4 linked regions of the Lepisosteus oculatus genome follow. The protein of the gene in region 4 interacts with the protein of the main gene of each other region in a pairwise test. Links are inferred from orthologs where the notes say so. Each region holds a gene or a part of one and is shown on either strand. Other genes may lie near its edges. The genes, in order: shc1, ptpn11a, grb10b and igf1ra.

Region 1 (6,841 bases), on a different chromosome or scaffold from region 4:
TGTGACTTTCTCTTTAGTTTTCCTTGTGTTCTTCTGTGTACCTGTCGGTCTACGTGAGTCAACAGAGTAGAGTCTGATCTGCCCGTTTTCAGTGCTGGAAATTTTCAGCAGCCCCTGAACACACCTGCAGGCTCTGTTTGTCCCTCAGCCTCTCGCCTGTCCCAGTGAGAGATCTGTTTGTCCCTCAGCCTCTCGCCTGTCCCAGGGAGAGATATACCGTCCCTCAGCTTGTTCCTTTTTTTCTATTTTGGAGAAATCTGATCCCGGCCACAGGGATTGTGATGGCCCAGAGGTCACCTGTCCATCGCAGTTACCGTGGACAGCGGTGTCCAGTCCTGGTTCCTGGATGGGGCTGGTGCGTCTGTGGGCTCTTCTCGGTCCCTCTAACGCGGTATCGCCTGAGGCTGTTGAACTGGTCTCATTAGGCCAGCGAGGGGCTGATGGGGCTGGTTCAGAGCGGGGCTGGGAGAAGACCCTCCAGCACCGCGATGGGAGACGCCGGGTCTGCAGCGCTCGGCTTCTCCGTCTTGCTGGATTCGCGTGGCCGCCTCCCCCCCCCCCCCCCCCCGGACCCAGCCAGTCGCCGATCAACCGGGACGGGGCGCGGCGCGGTGTCCCGGTCTGACGGCGCTGTGGTTGTTTTTGGTGGCCGCAGGTCTCGGCTGCCAGGGCCTGGGGACGGCGCGGCCGGATGGACTATGTGGTAAGAGCTCTGGTGCACCTGGTGGAGGTCGGGCACGGGCTGAAGGTGGAGGGGTGCTGTCCGCTGTGGGGGTGGTGGAGCCCGTCGTCTCTCTGAGCTCTTCTGTCCCTCTGTTCACTTACGCCAGGGGTCTCGGGCTCGGCTCCTGGAGGGCTGGATCTCTGCTCCCGCCAGGGGGGGCCAGTTAGAGATCTGGGGTCGCAGCTGATCTCTCAAAACGTTCGCTTCCTTAAGGGCACAGTCACCTGTGGAGCGTCTCGGGACTAACAATTATTCGACTAATAGCTGGAACAGCAGCCAGGAGACCCTGGACCTCCAGGATCTGGGTTTGAGACCCGGCGATTACCCAGGGCCGTGCCGTGTTGAGACGGATGGCACAACCCAAAGCACAACGGGGAGCAGGCACCAACACAGCAGTGTATAGCTGTAGCCCAGGGCTCCTTCAAGTCCACTCCGGCTGGGTTTGTAGGTCCTCTTAGGTCGTCCACAGCTGCTGATTTCTTTAAGTGGGTGGGAGGGGGGAGCAGTTAAATGGGATGGATTAGGCCTTAAGAAGGCTCATTTAGACCACTCTGCGTGCTGGTGGTCAGTTGCTGTTGTCTTGTGGCCGACAGCCTGGCGTGGTGGTCTGAGGCTCTGGACACCTGGCCGTAGGGTCAAGTCGGCTGTCGTTCCCTCAAGCAAAGGTCCAGCACCCAGAAGTGGCTCTCGATTTATCTCTCTACAGACGTCATTGCCATTCTGTGTGAAAGCATCTGAAGAACGAGCCATCTTATTTTGAGGATTTAGGAGGCATTTTGGACTGTTGCCCTTAAGGAGTGAATTGGGGATTCCTTGGAGAGCTGTCTGTTGTCATGGGGTTACCGGCTCCAGAGACCTTGGAATGGCAGCCGTTAATTTAGTGAAATGTGGCCATAAGGGTATATTATATGTTGACAAGTGACAGGTTCCTCTTTCACATACAGGCCCGTGGATGACGTTGACTTCCACGTGGATGGGAATGAGCTTCATTAATTCGGTAGTCCAGTACTATTCAACCTGCGGCCCCTCCAGTCCGCTCCATCTCCATTTCACAGCTTAGCTGCTGCCAGCCCCTCGGTTATGCAGGATCGATATCGGAATGAAAGAGCCGGTTATGTCGAAGTCGTGGAGCGGAGCGAATTGGAGGGTTAGGTAGCCCTGGCCAAGTCGTTGTCGTTGTAGAAAAATGTCCTGTGTGGAAAATAATTGTTATTCATCTACTCCGATGGAAGCAAAGAGACCAGGCCCTCCAGGAACTGAGCCCTATTGTAAATGCTAGTTTGCAGAGAAAATTAATTCTCTTTTCTCTTGAACTAAACTTCTCCTGCACTACTTCATCTGCCTCAGGTGAGGGATTTTGTGAATCGGCAGTACTACGCACTCCTGTACTATGTTAGTATAGTCATTCCCAGCTCCTCGGTTTTTAGTTTGATTCCTTTGCGCACATTTATGCTTTATGTCCCTGGCTTCTCCGTAGAACATACCAAAGCAGTGTGTGCTTGTCTGCTCCTAACATTGCGTACTAACACTCCTGCTGCTGCTCCTACTGCACCTTGTACTAATCAGAACAGCAATCAGGGTGCGGAAAATGTGATTTGGAATATGTTCACCCCTTGAGAAATGCCTGATTGCAGCTGGTTTCCAAGCACTTCAGCAGCCGCTGAATGATTCAGAACTGAATCCAGCTTCTGAAAGGCTCCCTGTCCCGTGTGCGTCGCTGCGCAGGGCCTGACGTGGGCGAGCACGGATGCCTGAAAGTGTCGTGACCCCTCATTAACAAGGCAGGAAGTTCCTCCTCCCCACCCTGGCCCCCATAAATTGAGGGGTCTCCAAACCCCAGCAGGGCACCTTGAATCTTCTGTTTTTTTTTTTTTTTACAGCTTCTCAAGCTATAAAAACAGCTTTTTTATTTAGACTTCCCAAGTTATTCTTCAGTTAAGCAAGAAATGTGTTCAGCTAAGGAAGCTGGGTGTAAGGGTCTTCAAATTTGAGCTACAAAGGGTCCCTAGATCACTTAGCACAGCACCTGCTGAACTGATCGCCACTGAAACTCTCCGGGGCTGCAGAAGTGGGTGGCGTAGTTATTTATAAACCCTACTGGACGGGAGCTGTCCGTGGCCAGGGCTGGAGACCCCTGCTGCAGACGATCAGGACCCTGACCGGACAGACTCCCGATAGGAGTGCAAGCCGAGTTTCCGAGGATCATGTCCGTGGAGCAGCGAGGGGCAGAAACCCGTCAGGAAGGAGGACTTTGGACTCGGGAGAGAAGGAGGGGCGCTTGGTCTGTGTCTCGCTGGCACTCCCTGTCTAGGGCCAGCCCGTCGTCTGCCTGATTTCCTTTGCTCTCTGCCCCGCACTTCGCCCATTGCTGTATATACGATACCCCCCCCCTCTCTCTCAGTGCAGTGTTAATGTACTGGAGTGTCCAGTCAGTCAGTGTGTCTGTATGAACCCCTCTCTCTCAGTGCAGTGTTAATGTACTGGAGTGTCCAGTCAGTGTGTCTGTATGAACCCCTCTCTCAGTGCAGTGTTAATGTACTGGAGTGTCCAGTCAGTCAGTGTGTCAGTATGAACCCCTCTCTCTCAGTGCAGTGTTCATGTACTGGAGTGTCCAGTCAGTGTGTCTGTATGAACCCCTCTCTCAGTGCAGTGTTAATGTACTGGAGTGTCCAGTCAGTCAGTGTGTCAGTATGAACCCCTCTCTCTCAGTGCAGTGTTCATGTACTGGAGTGTCCAGTCAGTGTGTCTGTATTAACCCCTCTCTCTCTCAGTGCAGTGTTCATGTACTGGAGTGTCCAGTCAGTCAGTGTGTCTGTATGAACCCCTCTCTCTCTCAGTGCAGTGTTAATGTACTGGAGTGTCCAGTCAGTGTGTCTGTATGAACCCCTCTCTCTCAGTGCAGTGTTAATGTACTGGAGTGTCCAGTCAGTGTGTCTGTATGAACCCCTCTCTCTCTCAGTGCAGTGTTAATGTACTGGAGTGTCCAGTCAGTGTGTCTGTATGAACCCCTCTCTCTCAGTGCAGTGTTAATGTACTGGAGTGTCCAGTCAGTGTGTCTGTATGAACCCCTCTCTCTCAGTGCAGTGTTCATGTACTGGAGTGTCCAGTCAGTGTGTCTGTATGAACCCCTCTCTCTCAGTGCAGTGTTAATGTACTGGAGTGTCCAGTCAGTGTGTCTGTATTAACCCCTCTCTCTCAGTGCAGTGTTAATGTACTGGAGTGTCCAGTCAGTCAGTGTGTCTGTATGAACCCCTCTCTCTCAGTGCAGTGTTAATGTACTGGAGTGTCCAGTCAGTGTGTCTGTATGAACCCCTCTCTCTCAGTGCAGTGTTAATGTACTGGAGTGTCCAGTCAGTCAGTGTGTCTGTATGAACCCCTCTCTCTCAGTGCAGTGTTAATGTACTGGAGTGTCCAGTCAGTGTGTCTGTATGAACCCCTCTCTCTCAGTGCAGTGTTAATGTACTGGAGTGTCCAGTCAGTGTGTGTGTATTAACCCCTCTGTCTCAGTGCAGTGTTAATGTACTGGAGTGTCCAGTCAGTCAGTGTGTCTGTATTAACCCCTCTCTCACTCTCTGCCAGGCAGGAGTGGGCAGTCATTTTATGTGCATTAGACCCTCTCAGGGCTCTCGAACGGCTCGCTGTTAATGTAGGAAGTGCTGTGTGCAGCTGGTCAGCCAGTCAATGTCTGTTTATTACCCCTCCCATCTGGGACAGAGTGGAAGTGTAGTCAGGTTACAGGGGAGGAGTGGATGGCGATGGGGGTGGGGCGAGCTCGCTGTGTTTCCCTGTCTCTTTTCAAACACGTGCTCCCTCCCTCCCTCCTTCCTGTGTGTGTCTGTGCACGCCTGTGCTTTCAAGACGGGCAGCGGGGAGAGAGAGAGAGGGAGCGTCTGTGTCCCTGTGTGTGTGTGCGCGTGCCTCTCCGAGAGGACACGCCTCCAGGACGGCGAGGAGGAGACCGAGGGGGAGAGACCTGCTCCTCACCGGAGACAGAAGGACTCGTTTCTATAAGGAGCAGTTTCCATCTCCGTGCCCGGCTCGCGTTTGCTGTTTGCTCGTCTCCTTTTTTTTTCCCACCTCCGTTGACGGCTTTGTGCTCTGCCAGCATCGATCTGGCCGGCTGAGCCTGGCTGTGCTGAAGAGAAGAGGGGGTGGGGGTGCATTGGGGGGGGGGAGGCCCCAAAAACCAGGGAGCAGGGGGGAAAAACTGCATATAGACGCCCGGGGAAATCGAGGGCCCGGTGATGTAGCATCAAGAGCTGGAGCCGGGTGGAAAAGAGGAGGTGGAAGGTTTGTCCGGCTGCCCTGTTATCCGTTCTGACTTCAGGAAGAGGATAAAAGGAATAAAGGGGGAAGGAGTTCGGAAGTGCGGGAAAAGGAATCTTGCCTTGTGTCTCCTCCGCCTGTTTTTCCTCACGGCCGGCTTCCAGGAGGAAGCCCGCTTTGGAAGCAACTCCAGGAGTTTTCACGGGAGCTCACGTTTTCCTGGACGGAAGGGGAGGATACTGGGATTTGCTCCCTGTCCGCACCTGCCAGCGGACGAGAAGGAGAGAAGACGGAAGAAAGGGGAATAAAAGAAAAACCGTGGATTGCCAGTCGGAATTTGAAAGGAAAATTTAATCTGCAGCTAAACTGAGAATCTCCCATCTGCTTGAGCAGGCCAGGGGGTGAAAACTGTGAGAGAGCTGCACTCCATCAGCGTGCTGGGAATTTTGCAAAGTTTTTTTTGGTAGCAATGGTGTTGAAGGAGTTGTTGGATGTAGTATCCATAATGTTCATTGTGATTGAGCATTATGGATCCTTAATGTTGTGAATCTGTGATTGCTGTTCTACTAGCTGTTATTTCCCGATTAACATTACTGGGATTTGTGGGAATGGCTTCTCCTCTGCTCCTAGGGGTTTGAATCCCACTGTTTGTTTCGTGTCCGCAGCTGTCCTGTTCTGGAAAATCCGGAAGGAGCTGGTTTTTAATGGCACAGGCCCGGCCGCATATCCTGACAGTGATCAGCCGTGTCATTAATATTAATTAGCTGTAATGTTGCCTGTTGTAAAAAGGCGCAGCGGTGTGGAGCCCATGTCTGCCTATGGATCTGCCACTGTTGGCCTGGAAGTAGCCAGGTTGTGCTGACCGGCTCTAGGTGTTCCGGCTGTAACCTGACCCTCACGGTCGCAGTAGAGAGGCTGTAGGCCCCTCTCTCTCTCGCTGCGAATGCACGGGTAGGTTGTGCCGTTCCTAAAACGGGACCCCTCGAGAGCCGCTCCGGCGTGCTGGCGAGTTGGACTGCCGTCGGGTAGCCCTGTACGGTGCTGGATTGCATGGTGACGCCCCACGCGGGTCTCTCTGGAGAGTGACAGGGGCGCAGACCCACAAGGGCAAGAGCGTTCGACGGTACCATCCGCTGGCCAAGGAAAGCTGTCCGCGGTGACGGCATGGGGTTATATAGCGCCTTGCAGCGCTAAAGCACTTCCCTAACAAGCCAGCTCCCCTGTGAGCTGTCGAAATTTCTGTTTTCAGTAGTGTCCCTGCCCTGCGTTGGTCCTGCCCTCCTGATAACATTGAATTGCGGCTTGTTCCCCTCTCGTCTCGGATCTTGCAGTTCTCTGACTGGCGTTTGCTGGAAGGACCTTTTTTTCCTGCTCCAGGGGAGGTGAAAACATTTCTTGTGAACTCCGGTGTGTCGAAATGGCCATCGCTGACTCACAGTGAAGCCCACCTTCTTAGGCATTTGCGCTGAGTCATGGCAGGCTGTCGCTCATATCGGGATTGCTAGTGTCTGATCATATTCCCAGATGAGTCAATACCTCTCCTATTACTTCAGGTGGTTTGTTTTGTTTCTCCACACTCGCTACTGCAAGTCACACCAAAACTTTTCTGACAAAAGGCAAATTTCCAAACTGGGAACGTTCTCAACAGAGGGGAATGTGAGTTTCAGTACAGGGGAAGTTCATAAAAACTCCCTTCTTGGCACGAATCTGAGCTCCACCTGATAAAAAAAAAAATGCTGTGATAATACAGTTATAATAAAGAAAGTTCACGTACTCAGTCAAAGTTATTTTCTACAACTATTCTCTCTGTGTGCTCCTGAAACGTACAACATTAAATTTTCTGTGCATAGG
Region 2 (7,482 bases), on a different chromosome or scaffold from region 4:
GTATCCTGCTGCCGGCAGAGGAATCCTACTCTGTTGGGCCCCTGAGGAAGGCCCTTAACCCCAGCTGCTCCAGGGGTGCTGTATAAATGGCTGACCCTACGCTCTGACCCCCAGCTTTTCTCCCTGTCTGTGTGTCTCATGGAGAGCAAGCTGAAAAGAAATTCCCAATACAAGAAATTGTATACGGCCAATAAAGCGATCTCATCTTTCTTGCATATTGCTTAATACCCCTGACATACTGTTGTTTAGGAACGATGTTGCTTATACACAGTTTGCATTATGGATGCATCACATGGTCAAGACTGCCACCAATGTCTCCCACAGTCTAAAGGCACAGGATGCACCCCGAGGGGCGAGTGGACGGGCGCTGACCTTGGTCTCCGTGGTCTTGGTCTTGCGCTTGTACAGGGCCCTCCTCTCGTACATGGCGCTGCGGGAGAACCTCCTCAGGCCCCGCGCCAGCAGCGGATTGCGGCACGTGTGGTGCAGCTTCTTCTTCGCCACCTTCTTCTTCTTGTCTTCTGCCATCTGACGGAAAGGGGGGGGGGGTTCAGATTCAATCCACTACAGCCACACTGCTACATGCATGAGCAAAACGGGTCTATTTTCTAACCCAGGGCAACAGTGCGACAGGTCCTGAGACACTCAAAGTACCGAAGGCAGGCTTGTCAATGAGTCGATTAGCTGGATGGCTAAGAGTAAGGTCAGAATGAAAACCTAGACAACGCCCCCCACCATTCAACGAGCCGGGTTCAAGCCATCCGCCAAAAACCACCCAGGCAGCAGGAGTGCGGCTTGGATTAGCCGTGTCCGCAACGCAACCGCATGAGCGCCAAGATACATCATCTCAAGGGTAAAACCTACTGCAATGCATTGTTTACTGTAAGAATTCTAGCTCTAGTTCAAAGCGAAAATGCTTTCAGGCTCCACGATAAAAAAAACCCGCCTCATGTCAGAACACCGGTCTAGTTCATCAGCGTCTCCAAATCGGTACGACGCTTGGTTTCAGCAGTTTGATCGAAACGAGGGCAGGAAAAATAAAACAAGTTATCACGCAAGCCTCTGAAAAACAATTCGCAAGGTACTCCTGATAACGATTTAGGAGCACTCACGAATCTGACGCAGGGAAGGCAGGCAGGCAGGCAGCCCGGGCGCAGGCCGCCGCCGCTACCAGAGACACACGGGAACCGGCCCGCTCCACGACGGCCTCCCCACTCGAGTCCGTGAGGAAACACTAACGGGATCACGCGGGTTTCCGAAAGTGTGGCGTTATTCTCACATTTCTAACCCGCTGATGAACGCGGGTCCGTGTGGGGTATTCGCTAGCTTGACACATGCAAAACACACACCAGCAGCCAGACCAAGACCCGTCCCCGGTAACCTGGATCCGGCTGTTTTACAGCAAATTAAACATAAAACAACCGCCTCCGAAACGTGTTCTAGACGATATGCTACTAATGTCTGCATCTACTTGTAACCCTGACAGTAACTCGTTCTAGTGGTTTAAGAATATTTCTGCACCGTGTCCCAAGTACTATAACGGCAGGCCTATACTTTCAGTACACAACAGCAAATTACACCATCAAAAACCTAACCAGACGACACCATTCCCAGAAAAGGTTATTCTTAAACATGTTAGCTTTCTGTGAAGTAAGGGATTTGGGGGCCCTTTTGAGTAACTTTAAAAGATTGTCACGGATTTTAATTCAGCAATTCAAGCACCGAGGAGCCATTCTTACCTTAGCTCACTAGAAAAGGATCGACATCCGGGTCATTCACGATTAAAAATGCGCCGTTGAATGACGTCACACGCACGGTAGGTCGCAAAGCTTGCTGGACATAGTAGTTTCCCATGGGTATGAAGCCAATTTTCTTTTTCACAAGATGTTTCAATTGTCCTACGAAATTACCTATATGTTTATTTCATATGAATCGATATTATAATGATACAAAATGTAGGATCCTCAAGAATTATTCCTTTGACTTTATTTTATTTATCATTTGAAATATCCAAAGCTCTTTCGAACAAAATTAATTATAATTATAATAATTGCTTACACTTTAATAGCGCTTTTCTGGACACTCGACTCAAAGCGCTTTACAGGTAATGGGGACACCCCTCCACCACCACAAATGTGCAGCATCCACCTGAATGCTGCACATTGAAGCCAATTCATTGATGGGGATTATTAGGAGGCCATAATTGGTAAGGGCCAATGGGAAATTTGGCCAGGATGCCGGGGTTACACACCCTGGGATTTTTAATGACCACAGAGAGTCAGGACCTCGGTTTTAAGTCTCATCCGAAGGACGACACCTGTTTACAGTATAGTGTCCCCGTCACTATACTGGGGCATTAGGACCCACATGGACTGCAAGACAATGAGATTAAAAAATAAACTGTGCAAAATGAGGTATTTAAACTAAGATAATTGGTTGACAATAACTCCATGAATTCGTTAAGAATTTGCCCAGGGCAAAAAGCAGGGGACACAGCAGTTCCCTGGGGCAGGAATGAGAGCCCCTTCTTCAGAGTGGGGTTCACACCCCTCTCCTGAAGGCTGTATTCCTGCAGATCTTCACTGCAACACAATGGTTCTAATTCAGCTAATTCACATTGATCTAATATTGTCTTAACTGGAGCCGCACAACAATCCCTGCCAGCATGTTGGGTGCTAGTGATTTAAAAAGATCCTTACAACCCACAGAAATGGGGATCCCTAACCTTGGAGCAACACTGTCTTCTGGATTCCTTATCACAGACTAAGTGATTTTAGTTTTCTATTAGGGGTATATCTGTAAATTTGCTTTCAGCTCCTAAAAGGTCAAATGGAATTTGTGATTGGTATCAACACTGTACCAGTCTCTGAAATTCAGAACTGTCCTCATTCAGGTCTGCATATAGCCAAATGGGTCTCTGCAGCAGGACAAAAATGCTGATTGTGGGAGTGTGTGACAGTGTCACCCCCACCTGTGTCTGCTCACCACCAGCTGATCAACTGGTACAAACAGTTCAGAGAAATTCTGTGCTGTGCTGTGCTGTGCTGTGCTGAAAAGCATGAGACTAATCAAGGAATCAAAGAGCCAGAATAAGGGAGGCAAATTTAGCATTAATGAAACCTTTATGCACAACCTTTTTGACATGTGAAATGTTTTTGCTGGATGTATTAAGTAAAGCCCTGAAATCTCAACAACCTTGCTGCAAGAGTGGAGTACAGTAAAAAGCCGCTGGAACTCTGGAGAACTGAGCCAAAAAAGTCTGTGTCTCACCTTGGCTTTCTGATGAGCTGTGGAATCAGCACTCAGGCATCAAGGCCAAGACATAATAAGAGAACTGGCAGAAGCTCAGCACAACCACCTTGTCTGGAACTACTATGGTTGGCATCCTCTGATATGCCAAAGGAGTACTGCTCATCGATTCCATGCAGCGCAGACCTATATAATCAATAGCCATTGTAATGCTGACAGGCTGGCATGACAGCCTAAAGCCATCTTCAAAAATATCTGCTGCTACTAGACGTTCCAGCAGTTCACAAGCCCAGAGCTGTACGGAACACAGTTCACCTGCGCTGTTGTTTAACATCTGAATCACTGATCAAACAGTCCGATCTTGGCCCTAAGCAACCATGAACAGCATGGATCTAGTGAAGGACAAAGAAGCGAAACAGTAGAAGAGGTTTAAATGTATTTCCTAACCCACGTATATACTGTATACCAGTTACCACATTGCAATATGTTTTTAGACTGATTACACCCTCATTATCATTCATAAATTAAAAGGTGGCAGCTCAGAATAGTCAAAATGGATTACTCTGAGTTGTTTAACAAATCCATATCATATTGTAATAATTGATGTCCTGACTCATTTTTAGTAATAGAGTCCTTTTATGTGTATTGTATTTTTTTTACTGATCATAACTTTGGGGTATTGTGTATATGAGAAATGTTTGGGTCCAACACCACTTGGTAGTTGTGGATGTGTGCAGCAATAAAATAAGATCTGGAAAAAGAAAGAATTTGACCATATCTTGCCAGCATTGTATGATCTGTACACATCAGGGCAACATAATAAGGCAACAATAAAATGACAGTAGGTCTAAATGGGTCAAAGAAAAAGCATTATAAAGTATTTTTCAAAATACAATTACAATTTTATATAGTATTTACATAAATTATATTTACCTTAACCGCTGACATGAGTTTTATTTTATTTCAAACATTATTTCTAACTTGATTGTATAAACACATATGCTTCCAGTTCAATACAGACATTTTAAGTTCTGCAGTTTTCACTGATTGGTAATATTAGTTTATTTGTTCGATGAAAAAAAATGAATTTTATCTTACAAATTTTAATTAAATACCTGCAATTAATTATTTAATTAGATATTTTGGACGATAAATAATCTCTACTTGTTCTTGCCATAATCCAAAATGGCGAATGTAGCCTCAGAGCATGTCCCGCCCCCACAGTGCGTCTGTGTCTTGTCTAGTGACGTCTTATCTCCGAGTCCTGCCGTAGGCAGAGTCTTGCTGGTGAGGCCTAGGGGTTTTCATTTGGTATTTTGTAATAAATTTTGATCCGTGCCATCACCAGCCCGACCGTTTGTCTCTGAACCCGGGCTGAGCCAGGTTCATGGCCTGTTGGGCGCTGGTCTGACTTCTCCGTGGGGGAAAAAAATAAAACGGCTAGATTGCGCGACTGAAAATAACGAGGAAATCAAATTGAGGAACCAGCACTTGAAGAAGTAACGAAAAAAAAAGATGACATCTCGGAGGTAGGTTGTAAAAACTCTGCTTCAGCGAATGTCTGGCTTCCAAAATGTATTTTGGTAACGGTGCCTTGATCATTTTTGCCTCCTATACTATTGTCTCGTTTTCTTTTAATGTGATGACCGTCTTTCAAACAAAAAGATTAAGTCATTGACGGTCTGTATCTTCGGAAGAAATTCCAGATATGACTTGTTTTGTCAGAATTATACATCGGGATCAGCATTTTTTTCAGCACACTCGATAGCATGCACTTCTGTCCTTTTGATTAAAAAGTAAAAATATTGTTTGCACGGCAAGGTTGTGCATATGAATCGTTTATGAACGTCGTACTAGTTGAAATGAGCGTTTTCTAAGAACACCAGGCTCTGTTTTGAAAAGATTTCTAAATTTGATTTAAACCCGGAGAGAAAGTTCTATACAACAGCCGCGCTTTAAAGACCTGACGTGTCGAAATTAAATTGTTTTACGTTGTGCTCCGAAAACGAACAATTTTAGCTCATGTTCTGAAGACCGAGAATGAAAACAAACCGTTTTTCACTACTTTTCTTTAGTTTATGTAATTTCCATAATTAATGTAACCTGGGATCTGCCTTTCCCAAGAAGACGGTTTTATTTTTATTTTTCCAATCTTTTAATGCACACTTGTTATTCACGGGCTGTCGTGTAGTATAGGGGTTTTCATCATTGCCCGTACCGTCCCGAGCCCCCAGAGACCCGTGTGAGCAATCCGAGTTGCACTAATCGGGCCAATCATTTAATCAATCCATTAAACTGTCCCATTAGAAATACCCCCAGCCCCCTTAGAGGAGCAGTGCTGGCCAAGAGCACAAAAAATGCAGTCCACTGGTGTGCTGTGTGTAAAACTCTTCTGCCCCTGAACAAGCCTCCTCATTTCCACATTTCGGCGTGGAATTAACTTTTGTTCGGTTAATTGCTTTTCTCTGCCAGGCATCAAAATAGTTTTCTGCACAGTTATATTGGAAAATGCTTTATATCATCATAGAAAGCACATCTCAAGTTCAGTCTGCGTGGTCTTCTTGTGGCTCTATAAATGTCCAGGGTTACTTGATGCGTTTGATGCTAACTGTAAAATTAAGTCTCATTTTGAGACGCGGTAACTTCTGATCTTCAGTTCCTAAAGGCAATTTCATTTTCACTACTTAAGCAGGAAATCTTCCAGTAAGCAATCTAGTATTCTTGAGTTACACTGTCAAAAGGCCTGATCCATTGTACCCTAATGTTTTTTTTGGTGGCTTGTATTTTAATAATCCAGGAATCGCATGTAGTCCCTTCTTGGAGACTTTTGAGTCAAAACATCAACAACCGGAGTTTCAGCATCTTGCAGAGATCTAGATAATCTTTCCAATTCCTAAGTGCTCTATTCAATACAGGGTTGTGGGAAGGATATACCAGGACCCAAGTCCATTTGGGTATACTCACACGAGGGCCAGTTAACCTATCGGTATGTCTTTGGGCTCTAGATGGAAACAGGAGCACCCTGAAGAAACCCACAAGAGCACAAGGAGAACATACAATGTAATGAAAATAGCTAAGACAGATTTTGGATTTGATTTGATTGCTAAATTGAAAATAGGCCCTATCTTAGATACAGACATAGAGATCTAATATATAGCCTTGTAGGTATTACAGTTGCTTTCCTGGTCCTGGCACTGGTGCTACAACCCTATCAGTTGAAAGACAAAAATACTAGTTTCATTTTTCTAACAAGTAAACTGCTTGCCACTTGAAAAGTGTAATTTGATGAAACTCCACGAACAGTGAAAACGTTCTGTGAACAATGTGCACATTTCTGCAGAATGAGTTCTGCTGCTGCTTAGGTCTGACATTAATGGTCAGTTTGAAATTAATGGCAGGAAATGAGGCTTTTTTTAACTAAAGTACAAGCTCTTTAATGTGGGGTTTGTTTAACCTGTTGCGGAGGGATTCTATGGTATCAAGTGGAGTTTGTGCTCTAGTATCTATCACACTCGCGTAGTTGTTAACACAGAAGAATGCAGAGGAGCAGCGCGTGCTGTGTTGTCAGGCAAAGTCATGTCGTTCTTTCGTTCATTCATGTCTCAGTTTGTGCTAAGTGTGGGTTTCACGGTGTGAAAAGATGATAGTATAAGTGTGGACATCAGTGCTGTGTGAGAGGGGAAGAACTGTGCCGACTGTTCAGTTAGGCTGCAGTTCCTGCTTGGTGTAAAGAAGTGTGCGTTCTAACTGCGTGTGAATCGAGCTCTTCTGTATTCTTCACATCAGGCTGCAGTGTTGTGGTTCAATGAGTCTTTCCCATTAAGATGTATTTAACCAAAATGATGTTTTTAAAAGGTAGAGCAAATGAAAGTAGTAAGAATTGTCAGATGTTATGCGAAATAGTAAATCATCTTCGTGTAGTTGTACATGACACTCAAAGCATTTTAATCTTTTTTTTTTTGTTTACCACGGTACTTTGGTTTTCTTGGGGGGCAGGCAGGAGATGTTTGCTGCTGCTGTTGGTTAGGAATTTTCAGTTGGACTATATATAATCAGACTAGGCACAAGGTACAGTATAGGCAAAAGTAAGCCAATGTTCTTCTGTAGTTGGGCAGTGCTTCACATCTGGGGGACTCCAATCCTGTCTTTGGACATGCAGATGTAAGATTGCGGGTTCGGATACCAGGTGGGGATCCGCTGTCGCACTTCTGAGCCAAGTACTCAGCTCAGCTT
Region 3 (7,966 bases), on a different chromosome or scaffold from region 4:
ATGCAGACATTTTATCGCTGAACGTAGGTTTGAGTTATACCACATGAAGGAGGTGAAATTGGCTATATATACACACAGTCATTTTCTTGATCAGTATTATTTATATTTCTCATTAGCCAATGCAGTATTCATTTATTTAAAGTTTCCTGGCACAGTCAACACTTATTTAACCCCTTTTCTGTTTTTTTGTCAAGAGATTCATTTTTGTGCAAGTTTTTAAACCAGGTTTAAGGGGTTAATGCAGGCACCTATGTCCAATTGTGTCTTTGTGGATCCATCTTGAGTTAATTGGATACATTGCAGTATCAAATTTGTAATGCAATTCATTGCTATCATAGCCTGCTGCCAAGTGGATGTGCACTAAAATGTTGTTTTGCTGTTACATTTCAAAAGTCATTTTTTGCTTATGCTTTAAACCAGCTTTTTAAAAAAAAATATTGATCATCACTGTTGATACAAATAGTGACACAGACATTTCCCGACAGTGCTGCTATCATTATCATTAGTTATAGGCCACTTCCTGGTAGCTTCCTGATTACAGATTGAGGCTTGACTGTCACTGATGAATCATCACTGGTCAAACTGCTGAAAACTGGCTACAGCCATTAAAATGGACTCTTCCCCAGTACTGGCCAAGTAACTTGTAATTGAAAGAAAGGTTTTAGAAAAATAAATATTTTTCTTTGAGGCCTGAAGGCTCTCTGCATTAGACTATTATATATACAGTACCTGTCACAGTCATGATAACAAAATAAGAAAAAACGCTTTGTTCATGTCAGTATGAAAATAATAGAAATCTTTTTCACTAAAGCATTAGGGTGTTTTAATTGCTCTGGATCTCCACCACAATGATCACTTTCAATATTGTGATTAGCTGTGTCCCTCCTTCTCTGCTCACATACTGTACAGTATCTCCTCAGGAAAGGCCATCTCTAGCCTGTCATTTTTCAGTCTCAGGCCTACAGGGTGGAGTGGGACATTGATGGAGAAATTCAGTAATTGATCCCAGCTTTGATATTGCACTCAGCCTTTTAAATACCGGTGAGCAGCACCACAATGTGAATGACAAAGAGTTGGCACACACCACTGCACACAAGCACATAATGTCCCTTTATAATTTTCATTTTACTTTTTTCGTTTAGCATTGTCTACATACTTGTACCATACATACTTCATTTGTAATATCAGGGGCTAGACATTTCACAATTTCAAAACTAAAAAATAATCCTCCATGTAGGACTAAAGACATGCCACTGTGAGTTTAGTTAACACATAAAACATAGCAAATTTTCAATATATCCTTTGACATATAAAACGCTTAAAATGAACTCAATATTTTGTAGAAAATAGACTATAGACTGAATTACCACCCTCACTGCCAAACATTTATGCATATATCTGTATGTTTCAGAGCTCTATATATTTTATTGCTCACTGACAATGATGGTGAGTGAAGTGAAGGGAATGCTGCTGAAAGAGATAATGCATAAAATCATATCTTTATTACAAGGGACAGTACAGCACACATGAATTTTAACAACGTGCAAAGTAGTGAATATAAAAAAAGGATGCAACAAAGCAAAATCTCTCTATGAAAGTCAATAAAACAATTAAAAATCAAGAATTAAAACTGCCATTGATGTCCCGGGTCATCAACAGGTTTTTCTCATGCTTTAAACTTTCTTACAGATGGACCCCAATCAGCTCCACCATTGAATGTGCTCACTGAGGGCCCGTGGAGCACCTGCAGTGCTGAAAAATCATTATGAAGGCTTGCTCCTGTGAGCTGTAATCTCTGGACATGCTCAGATGAATACGGACTAACATAAATTAGCCCTGTCTGGCACACATCAGGCTGTGCGTGAATTTACAGTCTACAGTCTGTATTAGGATGGATGCTGTATTCTAATGAGAGGACTGATGAAGGTTAGCCCTTTTTTCTTGTGGTTAGGTTGCAAAAAGCTCACATACTGTATTCATCTCACACCAGGCACAATTTTACTCAAATTAATCAGAGGAGGGAGTATACAAAGAGGAAATTAACACATTAACATATCAAATGGTATGCCTTGTTCTGCAGTTTCTCCAGAAGTAACAGGTGGCCATCTTGGCTCAAGGCCACAACACAGGGCCTGAGATCTGAACCAAGATGGTGGCGTTCTCACAAGGCCACCTCTCTCTGCATCTCATTCTAATGATCAAAAAGAAATATGAAATTATATATATTCTTAGAATGTATTTTGATTATGCTGAAGGTTGACTTTCTTTTTATGACATGCAAGGGGTCTTTTGGGTCAGTCAGGATATTATCTATAACTTTCATTTTCAGAAAGTAAACAGCATGTGTTATCTATCTATGTATATGCCAAATGCACACTTAGGTACTGTTTATATACTGTACAGAGATTATAACTAATCTGGTAAATCATCATACTCGTATAAAGTATGTACGAAAAAATGTATAATACCCTATAACCATGTGCAGAAGATTTCCTATAAATATGAGCCCATATGGCAGTGCCACTTTCTGCTCAGCTGGGAAAAGTTTCAGGCAATTAACCTTCTACACTGAAGAATCATGAGCCATGATTGGTTCTTCCCATGTTGGCCAGATACACAGATCTCTGGTTGTTTTTGCATTATTCCTCCGACTAGTTTCTAATTTCTCACATGCAGGGATGAAAGGCGACCAGATGTGAAAAACAATTTCATATATACTGTAATTGAAAAAAAACTATATCAAAAAGGTAAATGTAAACACATCTATAGAAATAATTCCATTGGTCACATTCAACCAATCAGATTTTACTGTATACCGTGGTAAAACCAAACTAAAGTGTGTTAAAACCGCAGTAAAACCACGGTGAAACATAAAGATAAACCATGGAAAACTACGACCAAACAAAGAAAATGAATGATCAAAGCATGACAGTTTGTAGAGTTAATAATTCTTAATAATGAAATCTCTCTATTGGAAAAGAAGAAAATTACAGATTACCACTTTAGGAAAAAAAGTACCTGCTCTTGCTGTTGGTTTACAAAGATGAAATGCATAACTGGCTATAAATCTCAGTTTAAACAGTACCTCTTATGATCTGCATTCAATTAACCTGCTTACATTTTCTTACGTTTATAAATATGTCTGATTTCTCCAGGCTGATTGAGAGGAATTGTGCTTTGTTAGGGTTTTACATTCCTGCAGGTAATTGTTTGTTTTTTTTGTTGTTATCACATAGTTGCAACACTATTTCTGTATACATCCTTTTTGGTCTTGAGCACCTGTTAACGTGAGAAATAAATGCAGTGAATTGCAGGTATGTGTATGAAGTAACTGTTTGTCCAATAACAACACTGCAGCAGAATTGGAATTGTTCAGTGACTTCTAATTCTTTTTCCTGTACGTAAAGCTAACTGCTCTTGACTCCTAGAAAGGTGTTCATTCTGGTAAATAGATGGATGGATTTATTAAAGACTGAATTTCCGGTACTTTCCTACACCTACTGTAGAATGCAAAATGGCCTCCTCAGTCCTAAAATCTCCCCTTATTTATTTATTTTTCTGATGGAACCCTATTTGATGACCAAGCATGAGCTAATAGTAGGCACTAGTATTTGGCTCATACAATATATGCTGGTAGAGTTTACTGTCTGTCTATTCATCTTTGTCAGCTAGAACTCCAGGACTCAAACAACCCTAAAGCTAAGAAGAAAAATCAATTTGGTTCACCACAGGGGAATGATTCTTTCTCAACATGGGTTTCACTTTTCTCTGCTAATCATACTCCTGGTGGGACTGTCCAAAAACTGTTCTGTGCAGTCACTTCATTTCCAATTCACACGTTTGCTGCTTGGCAAATTCATTTCTTTCCTTTTTGTTCCATGGAACCATGTTACCATGGAACTCAACCGCAGACAACGAATTCATGAGGTCAGCCCCGAATGGAAGTCTTGAAGAGTTTCCAGAGTATTTTGAAGATTCCCATTTGCTGGCCTTTGGAGGGAGTTATATTTCCAAATACCATCTCTGAAGGTACTGTACATTTGGGCAGCACTTTCTCATGTCCTGTTCCTTGTGAGGAAGCTGCCATTAGGCTTGAACATCTTGGAGATAGACACCACAGCTGAAACTGAGATGTCTTCCAGATGTTTTTTTGTAACTGAAGTTTTGTAACTCTCACTAATAAACAGAGGCAATCAAGAAGTCTTCCAGGAACTTGTGTAAACTTTGCAAGGCTTTGTGAACCTGACAGAAGACTACAATAACAGAGGACTGCATTTACAGCAGTTCAACATATTCCCTGGCTATGATATGAATAGATTTGAACATTGTATATGTAGAAAGGTATTATTTTTACATTTATGCTACTGATATGCAGTATTCAGTAGGTTTTCATAAATTTTAGCACATTTTGATTATTTAGTCGTTTACACCTGCACTTTAAATCTGCTGCTTGTTCTAGCTGTTACTGTACATAACAGAGGTATATTTGAGTACATTTGGGTGCAGCTAAGGCAAACACATAAACAGTGCCGTATCTTTTTATTATTTTTGTATGAGTGGCTTATTTCAGGTGCAACCGTTTAAAGTAAGGTTTTAAAACCGCCTTAGACGAAAGGGCTTCTCTAGAGTCAAATGCAAAGTATATGTACTGTATATGTGTGTGAATTAACTTTGGAGGAAATATTTGGTGTAACGGGGCAAATTATTGCAATCAGAAACAGCATGTTTTTTTCCATGCAATTCGATGTAGTAGAATATAACAAAACAGTTTTATGATTTCTAAAGCACCTTCCTTAGCTTTTCAACAAATGGACGATACAAGGGATAAATATCACGTGGATGCCTCTACCCCTGAAAGTGTGGGAGTGAGCGGCTCATAAATTACGTCAACGCAAGGAGTCCGGGATGGTGTTGCAATACCTGACTGAAAAAAAAAACAGTACACATTTAAAGAGCTCCTGTCTTTCACGATCCTTTCCCATGTTGCTGTATGGATTCGTCAGGAGCCGGGAGGGTACCTAGGCAGTTAAAAGCACGGGTGTGTACCCCTTTAGTAGGCGGGGTATAGATTTAACTTGTCTGCGCAAAGATGCCGGGGCAGAAGTATTTTTTTTTTTCAAAAAAAGTGTAGGTCTTCTACAGAATAGAAAACACAAAAGACGCACTTTATTTTCCACACTCTGGGGAGGAGGAAGATTTCTGTATCCCGAGTCATCGCAGTGAAGGGCCGGGAAGACCAACAGGAAGGCGAGAAGCAGCGGGGAGGGTGGGGGTACACGGTTTGGGGCGCCCGGTGCGCAGATCGGTTGCGCACGGTTAACGGGTTAAGCAGCCCGAGTCCCCCCCGAAGGTGGTGCCTGCGCTTCGCCGGCGGCTGTGCGTGGAGGAGGGGGAGGTGTCTGCGGGGCAGGTGGGTGGGGTTTTCTCGCGTGTGCTGGGGGAGTCAGCTGAGCCTGCAGCCCGTGAAAAACTGCCCGTTTTGGACGGGGGATGTTGTGCGCTGGGGAGACCGAGAGAGGAGAGCTCCGCTGAGCAGCGACTTCGCGTTGGTGAGCTCTGCGGCTGAAGTTGCGTTAAAAGTCGACCCTTCCCTGGCTCGCAGCCGTTATTTTCTTTGGGAGGGCTCTGGCTTGAAGGTAGGTCTCTTGAGATTAAGCAGCTTGTGGTATTTTTGTTGCTCCGGTGCGCTGCAGCGACTCCCCCGCTGTGTAGCGAACAAAGTTTGTGAAGAGCTGAGTGCCCGGAGATGCGAGGCTGGGTGGGTGGGTGCGCTGGGGTGCGAGCTGCTCCGGTCGCTACTCGGTAAAGGGAGAAGTCAGCTGTCCCCCCCAACACTGTATTAATGTCAGTCGCGACAGTTTCCAGCCTAAGTTTAAAGCAGGAGTGTCCTCGCTTTTGCGGTGTGGCACAGAAAATCAGGATTTGCACCAAGTGGTCTGAGTTGTTAAATCGAGCTTCTGGATGAGTTGGGTTGCAAATGTTAACGTCGAATTGAGAAAGCTAAAGAATCCAAGATTTGTCCGCGCTGTTTTGGAGACTTGGAAGCCATGGTCGCGTCAAGCGGGTTTATATACACATTTCAAATCCCTTTGCGGAAAGAAAAATCGGCGTGCGACAATATATAGCACGTAGTAAGTGTGGCGTTTAAACGAATCCCCAGTCGAGTTTAATACCAAGTTTGGTTCAAGACTTTAAATACAATATTTTTGGAGTGGTTCGGTAACTTTTAAGCAGATCTTCGTTTAGCGTTGAGTTTGGGGGTGGGGTAAGACGCTTTTCAGAGCTTTGCATTATTGAAACGGGCAAGCCAAAGTCTTTTAACACATGGATTGCGTTTTGTTACTGCGCTACGTTCTATAGCTTTGCGCATTCAAAGGCGTATTTGAAACATTTACAAAATAAACTTAATTTGTATCGTCGAAGGAGTAAATAATTCCGCTTTTACATTTCCTATAAGGCACTTGTATTATTTGGCGAAAAGTGATGTTTACTTTGGCGTTGCTGAATCAGCAGAATTCTACGTGCACTCTGCAGTAGTACAGCGGTAATCACGACTGTAGTTGCAACATCGACCTCATCCCCACCGAGGGCATTATGTTAATGTAGTGAAAAACATCCACCGTTAAGATTTTTTAAAGCAAAGCGTGTTCTGACACATCTCGCAGCTGGCACTGCAGAAGTGGACAAAGGCATAGAGACTGTCGGTTTCAGTTTACACAAGACTGTATTACACTCCTGTGTAAATACCAACGAGGTCTTGGATAATAACTGGATTCTGAAGTTAAAGCGCGCATAATGCAGGCTACACAGACTGCATTCACTTTAATGCTGCCATTTTGTTCCTTTTAGACTTTATAATTATATTGATTTCCGTATTTAGTAAAATATTGGTTTTACTAAATGCTCAATTGGTAAAGGTTCACACGATTTCAATTTAACTATGCATTATATTCCAGCACTTCTTAAGGTGCAATCGATGTTATTTTGGGCAGTGCTAGAACAAAGTTAAAATAAACAGGTTTAAACATTGAAATATTAGCGATTGTGTTTTGGGGTTGGGAATGGTCCTAATTGTTTATCTAGTGGTGTTTGTTTGAAAGAAGTTGCAGTTAGAACCACAAATGTGAAACTACTGTACAGTGTATGAGGTAACTTGGGGCTAATACCTAAACCCTTCAGACGCAGTCCTGAAAGATAAAGGGGTTTGCTAAGGGTGCTATACTTCAAATGTCATCATTTCACACTTGAGCAGCAGATAATAAGGCTTTAAATGTGTGTTTCCCATGAAGAGGATATTTTGTGCTTTTATAGGCTTTGTGAAGTGGTGATCTAGCTAATTTTTGTATCCTGATCCTTTGGATGGCCCTTCTGTTTTGGATTGGTCCTTTTTAGGAATTGCGTTATGGCATCTGTATCGAAAGAGTCAGTATAGGGTGATGTGTGGACAAAGACGGACAAATGGGTTCTGGTTGTTACAAGAGTTCCCTTTACATACCAGGTCTGTCACTCCAGGCATGAAGCCTTACCTACGTCTCGGGAATCTGCACAGAAGCCTATTTGTAGAATCTGAATGTTCTTTCCTTTTAGTAGATTCAGGAAAAAATGTGCACAATATAGTTTTGTTTTTAGTGCCTTCTGTAGATGGTGGGTTGATGTACTGCAGGGTCCCTCCAACAGGGATCTGGAGAACCCCATTCCAGTCTCTCGTGTAGGTCACCTTTTGTCTCCCCATTCCACGGATTGGCAGCACCTACGAGCAATTAGAGCATTAAGGCTGGGGGAGGCTGTTTGTTCCACTGTGCTCGTTGGGTAGTTCTAGTTGCTAAGTGAAAATAAAATTTCCTCCAGCTGTTTTTATTAAGAGTGCCCAGAGTTTGGCCTTCAACCACCTGGCTGGGAAGCCTGTTCCAAAGACTCGCAAAGTAAAGAAACATTTCCTCTCCTCCATCCAGAATGAAATGCCTTT
Region 4 (7,965 bases):
TCCTGGCTTGCTGGATTTTGCCCCATAATTGAGCTTCTATTCCAACCAACATGACAACAGAGATTTTGTTTGCCAAACCTTCACCAGAATGGTGCCTCTAGAGCAGGCTAGGTGAGTTCAGCGAGCGGGTACTGCAGGAGGTGTTACCTACAGTAAGTATTCTGTTGGGCTACAGCCTCTCATATGATAGGGTGTTCCTGATTCATATGCTCATAAAATAGCTTCAGAGTTTTCATTAATTACCTACCTCAGGCATGCCTCTCAGGTGAAATACCACTGTGGGAAAGCCTCAAGTGTCCTACTGCAAATATTGCAGTAAAGTAAGCCCATGTCCATTATGATAAGCGCTATATAAGTGTAAGCAATTATTATTATTATTATTATTTTATTATTATAGTTTGCAATGGTGTTGATCATGGCTTTCTGCACTATTTTGGAGTTTACTATGGTAGAGTTCTTTAACTGTTATCATCATCGCCCAATCCTACAGCACTTAGTGGAAGTAAATTCTGTAGGACTTTTGCAGAGTAAACTGTGGTATACCATTACTTACCAAAGGTAATTATGGTTATTAGAGAATATTACAGGGATTGTTGTAGTGGTTCTTTATCAGGGCTAGCTGTCCTGATCTGCAGAGAAAATACTTCAGCTGTGGAAGGATGACATGTTACTGCACATTTCTGCATGAAATTGCACATGAATATGCGTGTTTAATTTTGTCGACCCCCCCCCCCAGTTAGAATTTGCCTGCTATATCAGAGCCACTGCCTTCTCTGTCATCCCCATGTCACCAGTGGGTGAGCTGCTGTTTTCCAGGATGGTTCTGACATGAGGGGTGTGGGAGTCTGGAACAGGCCTGCCAGCCATGTTGCCAAAGCCGATAACCTGGCTTGTTTCAGTAAACAGCTGAATGGGATGCTGGGATCAATTAGCTACTCGCTAGCACATGGCCGAAATGGACTCCTCTGGTTTGTGCCTTCGATATGTTCTTGCGATGGGGACCAGCGACTAATAAGAAGGTTCTCCAATATGTATTGTCCCCTTTTCATAATAAAATGTTTTTTGCACTCTGTTTTTGAAAGTTAAGTGTTTAACATTACAACCATGTTGAACTTTACAAAAGCCTTTAATCTGCTGAAGAAGAATCAAGAGTATCAGGAGGATGAAAGAAGCCTAAGAAAGCTGAATGATGAAAGGACGTAAGCCCACTGTGGAATGCCTTGTTTCCTGACATCCAAAGGTGCTAAATAAATTTTGGCTACAAAGGTGCATTTTAGTGGAGACTACAGTCCACAACTGGAGACTGCATTCAGACTTTTTGAGTCCATATAATAGGATCACCTTTTTTAAAGTTTGTTGAAATGATTCCTCTTGTCAGCATTTACAGGGACCGCAAACAGTGCTAAATGTCAATGGTGAGTGGAGGCTGAGATGAAAAACAAAATGTGCAGTGGGACACAACTGCAAGCAACAAAAATGTCTGCTTCCTACTTACTCTTGCATAGTATGATAAAATACTGGCATTTAAAGTTAAACTCTTAACTCACATTTATAGGTTGTTACCACCTCTTTCATTTTAAAAAATCATTTTGAACTACAGTAAAAATCCCTTTTTTTGTCTGACCATCTACTGTATCTGTCTGTCTGGGGGGCTGGCGGTCTGCACAATCTCCAGGCAAACGTGATGTCTAAATTCTGTTGGAGATAAAAAGAGCAAGAGTTATAAGCCCTGCAGAAGTGCCCTTCATCTACACAAACAAAACTCTCATTCCCCCTGACAGCAGAGAGAGAACTGTAAATAACACCGATATCACCATCAGGTACCTCATGAGTCATATTCAGCTTTTAATTCAAAAGCTTAAGCTGTATTTAGCCTCCCATTCAAATCTGTGATTATGATAATAGAAATTGACACATAATTGTTTCCGCATTGATGCTCCTGTTTTAACTGTTTCATGCTTGTCTGATGATTGTGTGCACTGTTTCACATATATTCATCTAGATATTTGACGTGTATCCGTCAAGTACATGTGAATCGCAATAATTCTCTTCACACAGACCGTTGCAAGGGGATTTGGAGTTTTAGTTGCTGATGGACTGATTGTTCAGGTGGATGGTAATAGTGCTGGCAATCACACCTAAACTATGTATTACATTTCTCCAGTGAATATCATCTAAAAGCACAAAGTGCGTGCAACCAACCAGTTCAGGCAAACGAAATCAGGTGCCTATAGTCTGAATCAAGGCACTGAGGACTTCTCTCACTGTATTTCACAACACAGCTGGGTGAGATGCTTCCATCAATTAGCTACTAGCAACCAAATTGCTTCTTCAGAATCTTTCCTATGTTTGAGGCAGGATTCTGTTACCCATACCAAAGTCAGTTAACCTGTCATTTCTTATTATTCATTACATTGAATATTACATTGCAATACCCTTGAATTTTTTTCACACTTACAAACATATCATGTATAGCCAAATATAAAACTTTAGAAGCTTACTAGTATATATATGATTGCAAGAGCTGGCCATCTTGGTGAAGAATGGAAATGGAGTAAGCTATACGTGATTACTGAAAGGTGCTGTGTGAAATACTCTGTTGTTTGGGGCGAAGACGTAGTGCAGACATGCTCGGAGTGCCGGGAGAGCCGGCTCATTGTCAAGTGGCTGCTCCAGGGCTGATCCGGGCGAGGGCGCTGACTCAGGAGCACGCGCTCGACATCGTAGAAAACACTCGGCTCAGCAACAACCACACAGCTACTGCCACTGACCCTGCACGTGTCCAGTTTGTGCTACGCTGAAAGCTTGGAGGCTGTGCTTCACCTCTACTCATGAAGGACTGAGAATTGGCTGCTTCAATTGAGGTCAACAAACTGTACAATGACACAGTTTGGTTACATGACAATGTTACACGGACGGTTGTCAGTCATCTGGTCGAGCACAGATACTGTCCTGTTCAATCCTCCATCTCCACTGCTCAGCTCCTTCATCCTGTAACATCTGCTATGACAGGGGTGACCAGAGGTGGCCAGTCCAACAGGTGTTATATTGTAGGTGGCTCTTGCATCGGCAGTTTGTAAAGACGTGGAGCAGACGTGAGTTTTCGATTTCGTAAGTTAATTTGTTCGGTCAAGTCACAAATGTGCCAGCTGTGGTACTTGAAAGCAGCAGGGTTGGGGGATTTTCTTTTCAAATGACCTCTAAACTACCTCCAGTAATTGCATAAATCACCTGCTTACTTGGACAAAATGAAATTCTTCCAAGGATTTAAAACTTTCTGATTCAGGGGGACCTGTAATACCTCCCGGATTGCAGCCCTTCAGAGCTGGTCTGCTCTGTTCTTGCTATTCCAGAAGGAGTTACTCTTTACAAATTCCTTCTTTCGCTTGTCATACTTCTTGCTGTGTCCATGCAATATTATGCAGTTGAACAGTGTTAACTGGATCAAATAAAGATGTTATTAAATACGATGATGGATGTAATCTAAACCAGTGCTTCTCCACTTTTGAGGTACCAAGGACCATCGCTCTGAGGCCTCTGAGGGCTGCTGAGGGTCAAAACTGTCCCGACGCTAGAAGACACTTCAATGGGCAGTGTTACGGCAGAGACTGGTCGTTATTGCTCCAGGCAGAAACCTGGCTCTAGACGGTCATGTGATCAGTTGTACACCGAAACATGTTTTACCAAGGAAAGTTACATTAGGGTGATGTAACCTGTAAACAACATATCTCCCGCAAATCATTCTGTGACACCATTGTGTACACAAGGTAAGTGGAGTTTAAAACAAGAGCTCAGGAGCAGGTCCAACCCTAACCTTGCCCACTCCTATGGATATGCCCAGAAGACAAGGACAGGTTTGCTATTCCAATCACGCCACCTCTCCCCCTTGATCAGGTTATTGAAATGCTACCTCTTGACCTCAGTGGGCACCAGCTCTCCTGTCAGGCACCGGTCAGCATGTGGAGAGACAGGTGGAAGAAGCACATGCCAGGACCGGGCTTGCTGGTCTCCATTCACTCTGTGTGGTGCAGAATCTGCGGTGAAGTCAAGCCTTGAAACATATAGACTGGTGACAGGTTATTCTTTCTTATTCCTTACAGCGTTATCGCTGGCAGCTGCGCAGGCAGTGTGATATATTCATTGCCTCTAGTTTGCTGGATGCTACCTTGTGCGAGGCAGACTGGTGATGCCCCAATCATCTTGTCTGCAAAGCCGGCGATCTGTGTTTAACGTCTGGCTCAAACTGACATCTCCTATTGAGTAACACTGTTGTTTAAAACTTTGCATGCTTTTGCTATGACTTAAAAAGGTGTTTTCCATGAGTGCAAAGAGTAATAGCAACATACTCTTTTCCAAAATATTTCGTTATAATGACTGGTTTATTTAAGTGCAATGAATCACATAAATCAAACGTCTGGGTTTATGTGGGAGCTTGTGATCAAAACCTGAATAAAGTGGAAGTGAAAAGTAAAAACTTTGGTCGTTCTGGGCTGTGTGTAATAATCATAAAATTGTGTTGTTTTTTGCTGCATCAGAAAGCTATTTAGTTGTGCTGTGAGCACATGTACAGTATGTATCTGTCACTGCACTCCCCTGAGCACGTTGCACAACTGCATACAATGCGGTAAAACTCTTTTTAGTATGCTTGGTTAACACCATTCATTCTTCCCGATTTACATTTAAAATTGGTTGGCAGCGAAAACAGCCACGGGGCTGTAGACAAATACCAACGCTAACTCCGTGATTTATCTGTCCCGGAGGTTTTCTGATAACTCCGCGTTTGACTGGGCCGAGATAAAAGAAATACTGTCGATGCAAACCCAAAAAGAAGAAAAAAAAAGATCAGAGGAAAACAACATCCGAAGGAAAACCAGTTTCTTTCGGCGTGGAGCGGAGTGGCCAGACGGGGAAACTCCATGCCAGCTTTTCCCGTCTGCTCTAGTTAGCGTATGTGTGTGTGTCTGTGTGAGAGCAGGCGACTTGTTTACAGCGCTGATTCCAGCAGGCAGACACAGACAGTGGAGACGGGTGAGACCGTAGCCACGGGAAAGTAGACCGCTTCACCTTCAGCTTTCTCTCCCCCGGTTCAGAGAAAGAAGGAAGGAGGAGAAGAAGAAGAAGAAAGAAAAAAAACCCCAACAACAATACGACGGCGTGCCGCTGCATTTGCAAATTTCGACGGAGACCTTTTTCAATCTCTGTTCCTTTTCAGCGTGGGAGAAAGGGATAGATACATCCACCGCAAGTCACAGAAAAGACGGAGCGGGCGAGAGAGAAAGAAGGAAGGAGAGAGGGAGAGGGACAGGGGGAGGGGGTACAGTTGGTGAACCATTTTTGTCCTGACGGATATTTTGGATGGAGCTCAAGCCGTAGAGAGAGAGAGAGGAGAAAGGGGGAGGGAGAGAGAGACAGACAGACTCGGCGAGAGAAGGAGTTGTATTTTCATTCATTTTGTCCCCCCCTGCGTTTCTCGCCGAAACCCGGAGCCCGGCCTCGGGAGGGTCTTCCCCGCGTCTGGCGGATCTTGCAAATTGTAATTGGGGGGAGAAACAGATAAACCGGAGGGGCACGACAAGACAGCGCGGCTGCTTCTTCTTCTGCTTGTTGTTGTTGTTGTATTTTTCTGTTGTTTTGTCTGGCGAGCGAGCGAAGTGTGCGTCTCCCCTCTCCGTGGTCTTTCAAGAAATGGAGGCTGAGGATGCGGACTATCAGCCGAGCGAAAGCTGCGACTCGCGTGTTTCGTTAGCAATCTTTCATGCGTTGTATTGTTGGCAAGCCTAACAAAGCCTTTTCCATCTCCAATTTTTTTTTGGTGTGTGTGTGAGTTCGTTTGGAGAAGATAAATAAAGACCACAGGACACGAGCGATCACCTTAAAAAAGCAAGGATTTAAGTTTTTTTTTTAATTCTCCCGTTCTTCCTACCAGGAGTCAACAATAAGGAGAATTTGCTTCAAAGCCTGCTTCTCGGAAACTGAGAAGCGTTTTCTTGTTTTAGGGTTGTTTTTTTGGTTTGTGACGGGGCATTTTGAAACACTTTTTTATTTTTATTTTTTTTTGGGGGGGGGAATTTTCTCAAGAGGAATGAGGTCTGGGACAGAAAGGGATATTTTGACCTTGTTTTGGGGTCTGTTGCTGTCTATCTCCGTGATCTCCCTATGGCCGGCTAATGGAGAAAGTAAGTACACAAGTTTTTATTTTCCAGTTACAAAATCCCGTTCTTTCGTCTAATGCATTAATCGTAAATGGAAAATGTATAACGTTTTTGAAAGCGTCTTCTTGTTGTTGTGGTTAGCTCGTTTACGTGCTGTTTGCTAGCTTTTACTTAAAAAAAACGTAGTGTGAAGTTTGACCCCGAAGTTAACTTCTCTTTATCGCCTTTTCATTTATAACTAGCTAGCTAGACACTTCAGGGAGATTTTAATATGTAGGTTAGCACTGGGTTCAACAGTAAGGAACAACTGGTAATGATTTAATACGAGGTGAAGCGTTGAAGTTTGAACAGGTGAGGTGCAAGTTGGACTTCAATCAGTTTGAATAGTTCACAGAATAAAACTTATTTTAAAGGATACTGTGAACGTTGTTTACAATTACAGTCTATGTTCAGTATAGAGTGTCATTCGGTTGATATTCTTAAAAGTGAATATACAAATGTTTAGCAAGCGTTTGGAGATAACCTCAATTTAACATCTTCATAACGAGGCACCCGTGTTTTAGCAAAATGGTCTACCCGTTGCGTTTTGTATATTACGACTGATTTCAACTACCGGGATTACATTTTCATATTTATGTTCTCAGTTTAAAAAATAATCCGTCCTAATTTATTCTGCATGTTATTTTTTTTTAGTAAATGCCAGTGACATTTCGAGTTAATTTCGTGTGTAATTATATATTTTCAAGGTTGTATTTGTTTTAATTTTAGTCAGTTAACCAGGCGTTTGATGGGTTAATCGACCAGCTACACTTTTCTGATTTTATCTTGTCCCCTTAGTAATTTTGCTCTTACATGGAAAGTTTTGCGACAGATTTTTCGCTCGTTTCGGGAGGTGTGAATGACAGCCCCGGTCAGCCTCGTCCAGCCCGACATGTGCGCTTTTCTGCCCAGTAAACCATTTTACTTGCACGGTTAGATGCCAGATCATTTTCAATTTTCTGGGCAAACAATTGAAGTTATTTCTGACTGATTTTCTTCTTAGAAATAGTAACAGGACATGAACTCTTGCGAAGACCAGCCGTAAGTTCTTAATTTGATTTTCTGACTGGCATTGAACATTGAAATTGTTTTAAAAATAACACGTTTCGTTGCTTGCTTTTTCGGTTGTACATTTTAATGCTAGACAATTATATATATTGTAGGATTTAGTAGAATTTTTTTGGGGGGGATTATTTGCATGAACGCACAGAGGGGTGCTCGGCGTGTGTGCAAGGTTTCCAGTTTTATTCGCAGGCTGATTTAAAAAAGTCGCATGTTTGCACGAACTACAGGGCAGAGGTTCGATGGGCGCGCGGTGTGCAGCGTGGAATATATATATATGTGTGTGTGTGGTGGGGGGAGTATCCTCGTGCTGGACAGGACGCTCGCGGACATCAGGTGCAAGAGGGGCCCCGGGCGGCGCGTGGCGGCGCGGGGACACGGCTTCCGGTCCCCGAGGAGAGAAGGTGCTCGGGCTGGCCATGTGGCCGCGCGCATCCGGACCGCACGCGCCCCGCGGAGGCACGCCGTGTGCGCGTGCGAGCACTGCCGAAATTACTACCGCGCTCCAGTGTTCGCACTATTTTTTATGATGATTGTTGTTGTTGTTATTATAATGCACATCCTGTGGCGTGGTGCGACTTTTCTTCTGCACATGTTCCAGCGCCCGTGTGCGCCCGCACCAGGGCGACCGTCGTCGCTTGAGATGTATTTTAATAATTAATAGATGTATTTTGACAGTCGCTGACAGATGTTACGGCTGTGGCGAACGGGA

Evidence for each region.
Region 1: the proteins of igf1ra (region 4) and shc1 interact in a two-hybrid assay, tested with the Homo sapiens proteins (4 studies listed by BioGRID and IntAct). The link is inferred for Lepisosteus oculatus from reciprocal best matches to the Homo sapiens genes IGF1R and SHC1.
Region 2: the proteins of igf1ra (region 4) and ptpn11a interact in binary tests that used the Homo sapiens proteins (3 or more experiments, as listed by UniProt). The link is inferred for Lepisosteus oculatus from reciprocal best matches to the Homo sapiens genes IGF1R and PTPN11.
Region 3: the proteins of igf1ra (region 4) and grb10b interact in a two-hybrid assay, tested with the Homo sapiens proteins (4 studies listed by BioGRID and IntAct). The link is inferred for Lepisosteus oculatus from reciprocal best matches to the Homo sapiens genes IGF1R and GRB10.

What each region holds. Positions count from the first base shown.
Region 1 is NC_090722.1:5,526,816-5,533,656, forward strand, and holds the start of shc1 (SHC-transforming protein 1), read left to right. Parts: upstream 1-3,821; 5' UTR 3,822-6,841. UniProt on the Homo sapiens protein: Signaling adapter that couples activated growth factor receptors to signaling pathways. Participates in a signaling cascade initiated by activated KIT and KITLG/SCF.
Region 2 is NC_090717.1:11,295,385-11,302,866, reverse strand, and holds the start of ptpn11a (tyrosine-protein phosphatase non-receptor type 11), read left to right. Parts: upstream 1-4,467; 5' UTR 4,468-4,764; coding exon 4,765-4,778; intron 4,779-7,482. Other genes in the region: rpl6 (large ribosomal subunit protein eL6), read right to left, coding at 373-528. UniProt on the Homo sapiens protein: Acts downstream of various receptor and cytoplasmic protein tyrosine kinases to participate in the signal transduction from the cell surface to the nucleus. Positively regulates MAPK signal transduction pathway. Dephosphorylates GAB1, ARHGAP35 and EGFR.
Region 3 is NC_090705.1:43,180,245-43,188,210, reverse strand, and holds the start of grb10b (growth factor receptor-bound protein 10), read left to right. Parts: upstream 1-4,961; 5' UTR 4,962-5,038; intron 5,039-5,406; exon of another isoform or gene 5,407-5,636; intron 5,637-7,966.
Region 4 is NC_090700.1:54,514,365-54,522,329, reverse strand, and holds the start of igf1ra (insulin-like growth factor 1 receptor), read left to right. Parts: upstream 1-4,954; 5' UTR 4,955-6,082; coding exon 6,083-6,176; intron 6,177-7,965. UniProt on the Homo sapiens protein: Receptor tyrosine kinase which mediates actions of insulin-like growth factor 1 (IGF1). Binds IGF1 with high affinity and IGF2 and insulin (INS) with a lower affinity. The activated IGF1R is involved in cell growth and survival control.